Linked DNA regions of Mytilus edulis. The protein of the gene in region 3 purifies or fractionates together with the protein of the main gene of each other region. This does not show direct contact. Links are inferred from orthologs where the notes say so. Each region holds a gene or a part of one and is shown on either strand. Other genes may lie near its edges.

What was found.
Region 1: the proteins of ribosomal RNA processing protein 1 homolog A-like (region 3) and cell growth-regulating nucleolar protein-like purify together in Homo sapiens (co-immunoprecipitation; 3 studies listed by IntAct, with this or other methods). This does not show direct contact. The link is inferred for Mytilus edulis from reciprocal best matches to the Homo sapiens genes RRP1B and LYAR.
Region 2: the proteins of ribosomal RNA processing protein 1 homolog A-like (region 3) and serine/arginine-rich splicing factor 1-like purify together in Homo sapiens (co-immunoprecipitation; 3 studies listed by BioGRID and IntAct, with this or other methods). This does not show direct contact. The link is inferred for Mytilus edulis from reciprocal best matches to the Homo sapiens genes RRP1B and SRSF1.

What each region holds. Positions count from the first base shown.
Region 1 is NC_092347.1:43,472,688-43,476,448, reverse strand, and holds the start of cell growth-regulating nucleolar protein-like, read right to left. Parts: upstream 2,387-3,761; 5' UTR 2,284-2,386; exon of another isoform or gene 2,279-2,283; intron 121-2,278; 5' UTR 113-120; coding exon 1-112. Other genes in the region: protein-lysine N-trimethyltransferase SMYD5-like, read left to right, coding at 2,602-2,658. UniProt on the Homo sapiens protein: Plays a role in the maintenance of the appropriate processing of 47S/45S pre-rRNA to 32S/30S pre-rRNAs and their subsequent processing to produce 18S and 28S rRNAs. Also acts at the level of transcription regulation.
Region 2 is NC_092349.1:62,476,569-62,480,329, reverse strand, and holds the start of serine/arginine-rich splicing factor 1-like, read right to left. Parts: upstream 2,283-3,761; 5' UTR 2,205-2,282; coding exon 2,032-2,204; intron 1-2,031. UniProt on the Homo sapiens protein: Plays a role in preventing exon skipping, ensuring the accuracy of splicing and regulating alternative splicing.
Region 3 is NC_092348.1:78,180,138-78,183,898, forward strand, and holds the start of ribosomal RNA processing protein 1 homolog A-like, read left to right. Parts: upstream 1-1,294; 5' UTR 1,295-1,350; coding exon 1,351-1,492; intron 1,493-2,164; coding exon 2,165-2,250; intron 2,251-2,999; coding exon 3,000-3,143; intron 3,144-3,554; coding exon 3,555-3,749; intron 3,750-3,761. UniProt on the Homo sapiens protein: Positively regulates DNA damage-induced apoptosis by acting as a transcriptional coactivator of proapoptotic target genes of the transcriptional activator E2F1.

The DNA.
Region 1 (3,761 bases), on a different chromosome or scaffold from region 3:
CACAGTCAACACATGATATCATATTGCAGTTACGACATCTTGTCTGAAAATGTTTTTCTACTTGATTCTTCTTCAGTGATTCGTTACACTGGCTGCAAGTAAACACCACCATCTCAACCTCTGAAAGTACATGTATGAATGATTTTTATGGTGATTAAGATAATAACACAATGTTGACTGCTGTACCCCAATTTTTTACCTTTTTTACCTTTTATGTCTGTCTTTTTTGTTCACACATCATTGTCAATATAACAGATTCCTATACAACTGTCATACAAGTGTGATGTTTAGCTAGCTTTAAAACCAGATTTAATCCACCATTTACTACTTAAAGCCTGTTCCAAGTCAAGAATGTGACAGTTGTTTGAGTTTAAGCTTTTGATTATACCATCAATAAGGGACTTTCTGTTTTGAATTTTCCTTGGAGTTGAGTATTTTTGTTATTTGACATTTGATTACATATCCACATGTTTATTATCATTACATCATGCATATGAGGCCCTAATACATTTTGTAAAAGAGTAAAAATGTATTACAGTACCATTCAAACGGAACGATTCAATATCCTTTTTTTTCCGATTTCCGTGTTTTTCGGAGCTACCAAGTACCGCGGATTTCACTCCCAAATTCCTCCAAAGATTCTCTCCCAACACTGCGTGGCTGTTAATTGGTTTATTGCCAATCGGATGTACTAAACATTTACGACGCGTGACAACATAATCAGGTCTTTTTTTTGTAACTCGATCGTCTAATCTATTCATCGGTTCAACAAGTAAAACTCAATTTATTGAAGCAATGTAAAATACTATGTTTCACCACCTCGGTACATTTATACAGACTTCAATAATCTAAATTACGAAAAGAAACTGTAAAGTGACAACTCTGTTGAACAAAGGGAATAACTTCAAGTGATTTTGCTACGAAACGGTTTTCAAATTGATGAAAGTATTTAATATCAATTTCGTCATTTAAATTTGGAAAGTGTAAAAATATTTTAGCATTAAATTACTATGATTTTACCTGTCTTCATGTTTTTGACAAGTTTATGACGCGCAGCCATTTAACGTTTACAAAAGATGTTAAAAGTTGTGATGATAAGTAATCCGCTTATCGCCATTCAATAGGTCACTAATCCTTTAATTATTATTAAACCTCAATTGCCCATCATAATATTCTATTCCAGTTAAATCAGTCAGCATTTCATTTTTGAACATTTCTTAATCGCCCAAAATTGGCAGTTCTTTATTGTATTTTTGTCTTTTGAACACAATTGATCCCTGGACAATTTCCATCATAATTTCAATATTTCATCAACCATAAATTTATATTATTGACCATGGACGTATAACTAGTGTTAATTTGTTCACATTTAGAAGAATTTCATTATTTTAAATTGCTTCGCCGACATATTTTCAGTATGCATAGTGACCTGAGCGTAACCCTCCTCGTAAAAATCTGGTGGTCACAATAAGCATGGATCTGTCATTAAAATAAACAATTATCTGATTGTTCATGTTAAACACGTGCTCAATAACTATGCTTTTTGTTATTTGTTTACTATAAGGTGACAATCGGTAAACTTCGGCTTCAAAACACGGCATTTAATGAGTAGCCATATTTGTTAAATCATAACAGACAGAGAGAAAAAAAAAATTGACGATTAAACATTATATATGCGTAAAATGAGAAATTTGTGCACAGAGGACTAAGTTTATGATATATACATGCATTGGTTCAAGAATTGGATAAACGTTATTTTTAACCACTTACTCGTTTCATATGACTTTAAGCCTATTACCCTATCAGTCGTGTGTCGGTATAGATCAAAGTAGGATAAGAGCAAATAATAGGGGAGTGAGCTCGCTATCACAATAAACATTTACCTGATTTTGGAAGAGATTATTCCCAAATTCCTCCCAACATTTTGGGAGGAATATCAGAGTTTTTCGGAGTAACTCGGACATTTTCCTTGGTGTAGGGTGTGGGAGAGTTGGTCCTTTTGAATGGTACTGTAAATAAATCTTATGTTATAGGCCAGCAGTGTATGACCGAATTCATGAAGGCAAGAAGGAAAACATATACACAAATCAGTTAATTACAACAAGGATTTTTCATGTTTGTAAAGTAATATTATCAATAATTATACAAATTCGTATGTATGAAGAAAAGCAAACAGAATGCTATCTAGATTTTTTATCAAAATCAAGCACTCTGAGTTTGTCATGTTATAATTTCATAACCTAAAGTTATAGGATGAAGGGTTTAATATCATACACACCTTACCAAGTAATTCAAAACAAGGAAATGCTTGTTTTTCTTATATCAAAATTAAAAATAAAATAAATGAACATGTGGCGGAAGTTGTCAATGGGATTCTAAACAAAAACTTAAATCGGATTAGATGCAATTCCGCGTTTAATTGTATTTACAAACGGTCGTTCTTTAAAGATTTGAACAAAAGAACAAGAATAAATTTCTTCATTTTGGTCAATTAGATATGATTTATCTTTTTGGTGACATTTCATTATTATTTAAAAGAAAAATGAACATAAAATTTATTTTCGTATAAGTTCCATACCGTCTTCGGTTCATCAAATAGAAATGGAGTTGAAAAACAGCACAGAAAATGTAGAAATACAACTTATTGATGAACTAAAAGTAATGAGGGAAACAAATAATCAGATGAATATAATAATTTAGTCACAAGTTTACTCCTCAATCCTCAAGACCTATCCCACCTCACCTGTCATTCATTTAGTCATTACTTCAACAACCCTAATTTGGTACATCACTACATGTATATGTAAAGGGTAAAAATGCACCTTTATTGTTAGGCGTTAAACAGTAGTTTTCGGCTAATGTTTGCATGAAATTGATTAAAATTTATTAATCTCATGTTAAGTTATGTCATGCTTATATACATTGTATATGATCAGGATTGGTCAGAGTTATTTCCAGGAGTCGAAACTGGCGCTGGTCCTGCGGTCATAGACCAGAAGAATTTGCGTCGGATCAGTAGATTTTGTCTGCTGGTGGTCTGGTGGACCAGTAGAAATTTGTTGATAAAACTCACTGATTGCATCGCAATATCAGTTTGTTTGCAAACAAATTAACTTGCGAAATCATTTACCCGGTACTGAAGCATGTCAAAGAGGATAATTGTATTCATTGAAAATAAAATATTATTTCCTGTTAACTTGAAGAAATTAATATAAAATATTGTTTCATGAAATTGTTTTTAGTGTTTGTCAAATGAATGTCATTTTTGCAGAACCAGTTAAGATTTGCAGCTGAGGGAGGGTAGGAGGGGTCCTGATCCAGAAATCCCGAGCTTAAAAACACGAAATCACGTAATCCCGGGCTTAAAAAAAACGAAATCCCGAGGTCCTGAAATTTAAAAAAAGAATTCCCGGATCCCGAAAGGGTCAATCCAGAAATCCTGAGCTTAAAAACACCTGATCCCGGAGTCCCGATAAAGGTCCTATCCCCCCTCGCAGCTGGACCAGTAGATTTTTTATTCCACTGTTCCAGCTTGCCAGTATACAAAAAGCTTAAATTCGACCCCTAGTTATTTTTGAGTTCTGAAATAATTATCGTTACCATTTTCAAGGAATTTTAGGTGGTTCGTCAAAATCGGTAGATTTTTTTCATAAAGCCCACGAAATATTACCGTTAACATATCATTTGGCAAGATTTTTTACCTTTATTCATCATGAAGGTACCCCCTTTTATTACCCTCATTTATCATGTTTATAAACCAG
Region 2 (3,761 bases), on a different chromosome or scaffold from region 3:
TGATTAACATCTTTTATTAAAATATGCCCTTTTCATATTATCATATCGCGCGTTAAATGCCCTTTTTCAGGATTGGCACCCTGCCCTTTTGAAAACCTAGCTGGAACACTGTGACTGATTCACTTGCAAGTGAAAACGTCATCATCATTCTAACCGGTATTCATGTGAACTTCAAGTTAAGGTTCATCATAACCTTTTGGCTAAAATGGCCGTATTTACACCCCAAATTTTACTCTGAGTACAGACTAACCTATACACCTGCAACAGTTTTAAGGGATGGCAGGAACTAGATATATAAATTTTAAATGCATTTTATGTTTCAGAAAATTATAAACTTTTCTAGATTTTGCTATCCATTTTTTTTCGTTCCTGCAGAAGGTGCAAAAATTAACTAAGTAGTGAAAACGATTGAGAAGCTCCACTCATATAATCAATGTTGTGAGTAGTATTGATTTAAATGGACAATAGATGGACAAGACACCTGTAAACAATAGGTTATTTAACAGGTTTAAACTGTGTAACTGAGTGGACCGTATCAAATGAAACTCGGGTGTTTGTTTATTTTGCTATCTTCTGCAGACTGGAAAAAAATGAACATCAAAATCCAGGTAAGTTTTTAATTTTCTGAAACGAAGACTTCATATAACTTTTATATATCTAGTTCCTGCCATGCCTTAAAACTTTCCTGGATGTACCAGTTTGTCTGTACTCATAGTAATTTTGGAGGTGTAAACACGGCCATATTTTTCAATTCCTTATGATGAACCTTAACCCCTAGCTAGAGATTGACAACGCATGCGTTGTACGTGTACTGGTTATTTAAAGAAAAAGAATGTCAACAATGAAAGTGAAACTACGGTAAATCATTTGATTACTAATTCGATGCACATAAAGTCATTCTTATATGGTTAAAAACAATGAGAAACATCTATTTTTAATCTATAAAATAAAATCAAACAGACCTATAAAAATGCAATTGCACGTGTTGGTTTAATCTATTCGTATCTTAATTTTTGTTTACATCGCTAATATGGTCATCTGAGGTCAAATCGATAGTTAATTAGATGGCGTCTGGACTAAAATACACACGAAACGAACCTATATATTATCTACCCCATGCTCTGTAAACTGCTTATTTTAGACTTTTGATAGTTTGGATAAATGTTTTACATTGTTATAAACCAAATATGAGAATTTGAGTCAAATCGGTTACAATGAATTTGACAGCTAGTGCCCCTTTAAAAACACTCATTTAAACAATTTTCTTGCCTAAAATGACTATATGTGCACATTTGAGGGTCTATTTATGTATCATCACAGGGTCTTATTTCAAAGCAGGGTTTGACTCTTGAAAATGGGTCTGTAAATTGAAGTTTCAGTCATATTCATGATTTTAAATTTCCCAATTTGATGAAAATGACGCATATTTTCCCAATAAAAAGGGTAACTAGAGGTAGTTTTGAAAAAAGCCAACAATATCGCTGGCAGTGTTGTAATTTTCTAGGGTTTCATGTTTAGATGGAAGGTCTGCTCTGACAAATTTTTACCAATTGAGGTAACGATAATTTTATGAGACCTCTGACGATTCACGATATAAAAGGATATTTCGAACGAATCACGGTAAAACCAATGACACCAACTGATGCCTAAAATGACTGTTCAGTCTTCACTCTGAACTGCTAAATCTACAGGCCCACAGCTCAATTTTTGAAAATTTTTAGTTATATTCTGTTGGCCTGTAGGTCTGATTTTTACAGGCCAAGAGCAATTTTACCAGCCTGGGCTGCCACTTGTCGTGAAGACTGACTATTTGACGACTGACAGTAAAATTACTACAGTAGACAGTACCTTCATGAATAGAAACAAGTGCCTGTGATTTTTAATATTATTATTAGTAAATACTCTCTTACTCAGTTTTACATGTAAATATGGCTATGAGCACAGCCACAATACAAGTAGGTTTACACCTTGAAATTGCCAAGAAAAAATATTGACAGTTTTAAATTTAAATAAACTAAACAAAGTGTTTACCGTGGGTCCTCAAATTCAACAAAGGCAAAAGGGGGCCCTCGTCTTGTTTTCAAGTCAACAAAGTTAATTCGTCCAAATTTATAAAATAAATCTTCAATGTCTCTAGCTCTTATATCAGGTGGGAGATTGCCAACATAAATTCTGGAATCATTTGATGGTCGTCCGTAAGACATGCTTCGTTTTCTTTTCCTACGGCTGACGTGTTGTGAAAAATGGCGAAGAAAGATAGCGTTGGTTTCTAAAACGAGGCAGAATACGTGATCAAGACTAACTTCCTCATTCATATTGTAAAAATAAATGCACCACAACGTACCTTATATCAGAAAGTGACTACTTTTATACAAGGATTTGTATAGTAAGTTCTTACTATACAAATCCTTGTTTTATATAAACAAAAATCCTGTATCTTTTTTAAATATTAATAATTCATTTATTACAGCCGATTGCATTGAGTGTGTAGGGTAAGGTATATATTTGTTCCACCTAACAGAAGTTCCAATGGAAACTTTGTTATAAATATTGTAATTATATCTATTCCTGTTGGAACAAATATTCTATACCATTTATTCCGTTGGGAACATATACTGTAATATATTTATTCCTTTGGAAATTGTGTTCCAGAATATTTTTTTCTTTTTTGGAACTTATATTATGAAGGAACTTCCATTCTGTGACAGTAAACTTGGTTAGCTTGCTTGTTAGCTGAACCATGAATTCATTATTAGGTTAGCTCTGAGATTTAGGTCATGTAAGGTATAGTAATATAGGGTTATTGCATGAATATTGGGGAATATTGTCCCGAGTAGAATTTTATATTGCACGAGCTTGCGAGTGCAATATATGTTCTACGAGGGACAATATTCCCCAATATTCATGCAATAACCCTTTTATTGTATAGCAATATAATATTTAAAAGTAAAAATTGGTTTAAACTAAGATTTTGTCGTTGATGATGTCATGAATTTTGAAGATTTATTGCACTAGTGCAATATTAGAATTTATTGCACGCTAACTTTTGGTTACTTTCTGTGGGAAATATTATATTGCTATACAATAATACTACTTCTTTCGAAGTAGTCTAGTCCTACAGACAGATAGATTGGTTGTCTGTCGGACTAGTCTACTCTTAAAGGAGGATAGTTTACCTATTAAACATGTTAAACTTAATAATGACTGCACGGTTCAGCTAACAGGTAAGCTAACCAAGGATTTAACCTTTCCATACTCACTCAATGAAATCGAATGTAATATTGAAAACTCATTTATTATTATTAAAAATCATTTATTTATGACAAAAATCTTTTTTTAATATTGAAAAATCATTTTTTTGATAGTGAAAAATCATTTTTTTGATAGTGAAAAATCATTTTTTTAATATCAATAAATGATAATCACTAGATGGCTATTGGTACTTTACGGAACGGAACGGAATTTCATTTAAGGTATCCAAAGGGGGCATTTATCAAAATTTCGAAAAATCTTTAAAACAAAACAAACTTTAAAATTTCTGTGTTTTACGGTTTTCCATATACAAATAACACAAATGTATACTTAATCTCATCTTCACAGGTGAAATGTGTAATAATGTATAACATCGGGAAATATTCTGTAGATGAATATGTCGCCGGGATTGTCGTGATAAATTATCATGAAATTAACGCATTTGCAAGTCATGCATTATGATATCTAGACTGACCTCACGTCGTCCTTGATTAGAGACAGTGATCAAG
Region 3 (3,761 bases):
GCTATGCGTATAAGCATAAATACTACATACTTGCGCGACGCCTTTTAGTTTTACTGAAAACTGCGCAGACTAAGAAATGTTTTTACAAGTGTAAAATGTTCTATGATAGATATTATTTTGTCAGACACTTTTCTTTTTTTTATTTGGTTCTTATAACATGCCAAAAATCTGTATATTTAATAGAGTTTAACATTAAATTAAGCGTTTTACTCTTAACAGACGTATAACCAACCCGATTAACAGACCAATCGCCCATATAGCCGCATACTCAATATAGATTAACCGACCAATCTCTCGGTTAGCCGAGTGTCGGCCGTGTAGAGGTATAATTTGTATATCAAAGTGAATAAGGTGGCGTGGCCGTATGATTGCCTATGGGATAATTATCCATGAGTGTCCAAAGGAAAAGCATACTGCCAATTATACAGGTTAACTTCAACAATGTATAGATATACTCGCATAAATGAAATATATTTTTTAGTATTTTTGAGTAAGAATGAATTGTGATAACATATTTTTTTTTCGTTCGCATTGTGTGTTTATCGACCAGCTATGGTATATGGTATACGAACGCGGACACCCTATCTTTGTAAAATTGTCCAATTAATGTCCGACGGAGGGTGCATCACTCAGTCATGATCAGATAGTTGTTAAATCTACCTATCTCTTAAGGTACTGGATATCTCAGTTGCTACTGAGTTCTCTTGCCTAACACAATTTGTCAAACGGGTTGAAGTTTTCTTGCTCTTTTATTCCGCATATACGTTACTCGAGATACTTGACTTTGTGTTCTGCCCTTCTATTCTTATCTCCATATTGTATGGTCAACTGACAAGGATAAATTTGTGACAAGAACGTGTTTAATCATGCTATTGTTTTAACAAGGATTTATATATTAGATCATATTAGTATAGACTGTCCCTGTATATGATACTATGTATAAATCCTATGGTTAAAAAAATCATTAGTTTTTAAATACCAAGGATGTGTATAGTTACTATCAGAGACATATATATACACACTGTCACTCGTATACATGTCTCTGTTACTATATAATACAAAACTTGGATTTACCGACCCCTCGGAGACCGACCCCAAACAAAAATGGGGTGAAAGTGTCGATCCAAGATTCATTAGGGCCAAACACTTTAGAAACAAAATAATTAAACTTTTTGTTTTATAGTTGAAAAAGGTTATTTGTATAGTAAGAAGGTTCTTACTATACAAATCCTTGATAAAACCAAAAATGACACGTGCCAAATACCGGAAAATTACAGCTTGTCCGCATTTGGTTTTAAATTTAGATAGACAGTCAGCACTTCCGGCACATGTGGAAATCAAATCGAAGAAATGGCAAACGAAGATGTTAGCAAAACTGCCTCTGTTGAGGTACATTTTGCACAAAGATTGGCTTCAAATGAGAAGAAGATTAGAGACAGAGCAATGAAGAAATTAAGAAAATGGCTTGAATTGAAATCTTTAACCAAAAAAGGTGTGCAAGTTTACCTCGTTTCTCCTAACAAACAGACCCAAAAATTATGGCAAAATGGAACACACATGTCAATAATATTACAACAGCAGCCACACTAATGCTTAACCTAATGAAGAAAAACGTATAGGTCAATTCAAAATCAAGAAGCATATGCATCATTTGTAAGACCAAAGCTAGAGTACAACAGCTGTGTCTGCGACCCATATACCATACCATATAGACTATAGTGTCGACACTACTCCACATCTAAATTACAGCACTGATTTTAACTACATACTTGAAAGTTTTTAGCTGTTCACTTACGCTGGAGTATATACACTAAAACATGAGTCCACTCCTTGACGGGAAGATAGAGAGATAGATAGATAAATCACAAACTAAAAATGTCCAAGCACAGAGCAGCTAGGATGGTACACATAAACATGCCATAGCCCCAGCTCAGTTACACTACATTTGAGAAAAGGCAAATACAATCTTGAATCCTGTTCTATATCATGCACCATGTAGCCATATAGAGTGCTAGTTTTCTTGTAGCCTGGTTAATTCTTAACTAGGTCGTTTCATACTTGGTGTATTTATAAATGGAATATATTAAATTAAAGAACTTTTCTTGATTTCAACTCTTTAAGTTATGAGTTTTGTTTAAAACGTGTTATATATAATTGTTTACAGAAAAAGCTTTTACTGAAGCAGATTTCCTGAAGATATGGAAAGGTCTCCACTACTGTCTATGGATGCAGGACAAAGCACTTCTTCAGGTTTATATTTTATTTAAAATGGTGTAACTAGAAATTCTAAACAGTCATATGATTTTTATACGCCCGTCAAAATTTTGACGTATTATGGTATACAAATGTCCGGTGTCCGTCTGTCTGTCCGTCTGTCTGTCCAGCGTAAACATGTCGCACCGTAACTTGAGAACGACTTATCTAAATTTCATGAAACTTAATATAGTTGTTTTTTATGATGATCAAATGATCTGTATACTTTTTGGTGAAAATAAGATTTAAACTTTTTGAGTTACGGCACTATGTAACTAAAACAGGGGTGTGTTGTTTTTTCACATGTCGCACCGTATCTCAAAAACGATTCTTGATTATTGCTTTAAACTTTACACACTTCTTAGTTATATTAATCTTAATATCTGTATACTTTTGGTGATGATTCAAAATTTCATTTTTGAGTTATCGAGTATTTTGTAAAAAAAGGGGGAGGGTTTTTTACATGTCGCGCCGTATCTCAAAAAACGATTTATGATTATTTCTTAAAACTTTACACACTTCTTTGTTATATTAATCTAAAGATCTGTATACTTTTTGGTGATGATTCAAAATGTTACTCCCTTAGCTCATTACTGATTTCCTTTGCTTTTTGTGGCATTCAACCTAAACAGGAAGTTTTCTAAATTCTAGATTGAACTAATATAAATAGAGATAATACTTAAATATTTCATTTTGTGCCTTGAGATTGATATAAGTTCTGTTTTTAATATTTTTTATACTTGTAGGAGGAGATGTGTGCATTTATGTCCCGACTGGTTCATGTATTCAGTCATCCAGACAACACATTACTGTTTATACAAGTGTTCTTACAGACAGAGGCTAGGGAATGGAATGGCACAGACCGCTGGAGGATGGATAAATTCATGATGGTAACCATCCTCCCCATTGCCTCATTGTTCCTGTGATTGAAACACTGTTTTATTATTAAAAATTTCGGTCAAATTGCCTATGTACATGTATTTAACTTATTTACTATAAAAAATGGACTTAACTGGGAGTTCAAGGAAGTTAGAATATTTAAAGAATTGCCTGCATACTTTGGAACAGCCATGAAAAATCACATTTTTTCTTAATCCATTAAAATAAATGAATCCACAGTATAGCATGTTTATTGTCCATATTTTGTCAATCATTAGCATAATATGGTCCCAAATGATGTGGCTCTCATCAATTGAAATTGTAAGATATTTGTTGGATATGAGATGATATTTATGATATTATAGATAGATATTTTAATCAGTTATTAATAACATAATTGATTGTTTTCAAATACTTTTCAGTTGTTCCGTAACATGTTAACACAGTCATTAGAGTTTCTGAAAAAACAGAAATGGAAAAAGAGTCTTATTACCAAGTTTACAGACATTCTGTCCAATAAGATAATGAACATTAAGGAAGACACTTCACCAGACGGACTTAAGATACATTTTACAGATATTTATTTGGATGAACTAGAGAGGGTTGGTGCTGAAGAGGTAAGGCTCAAT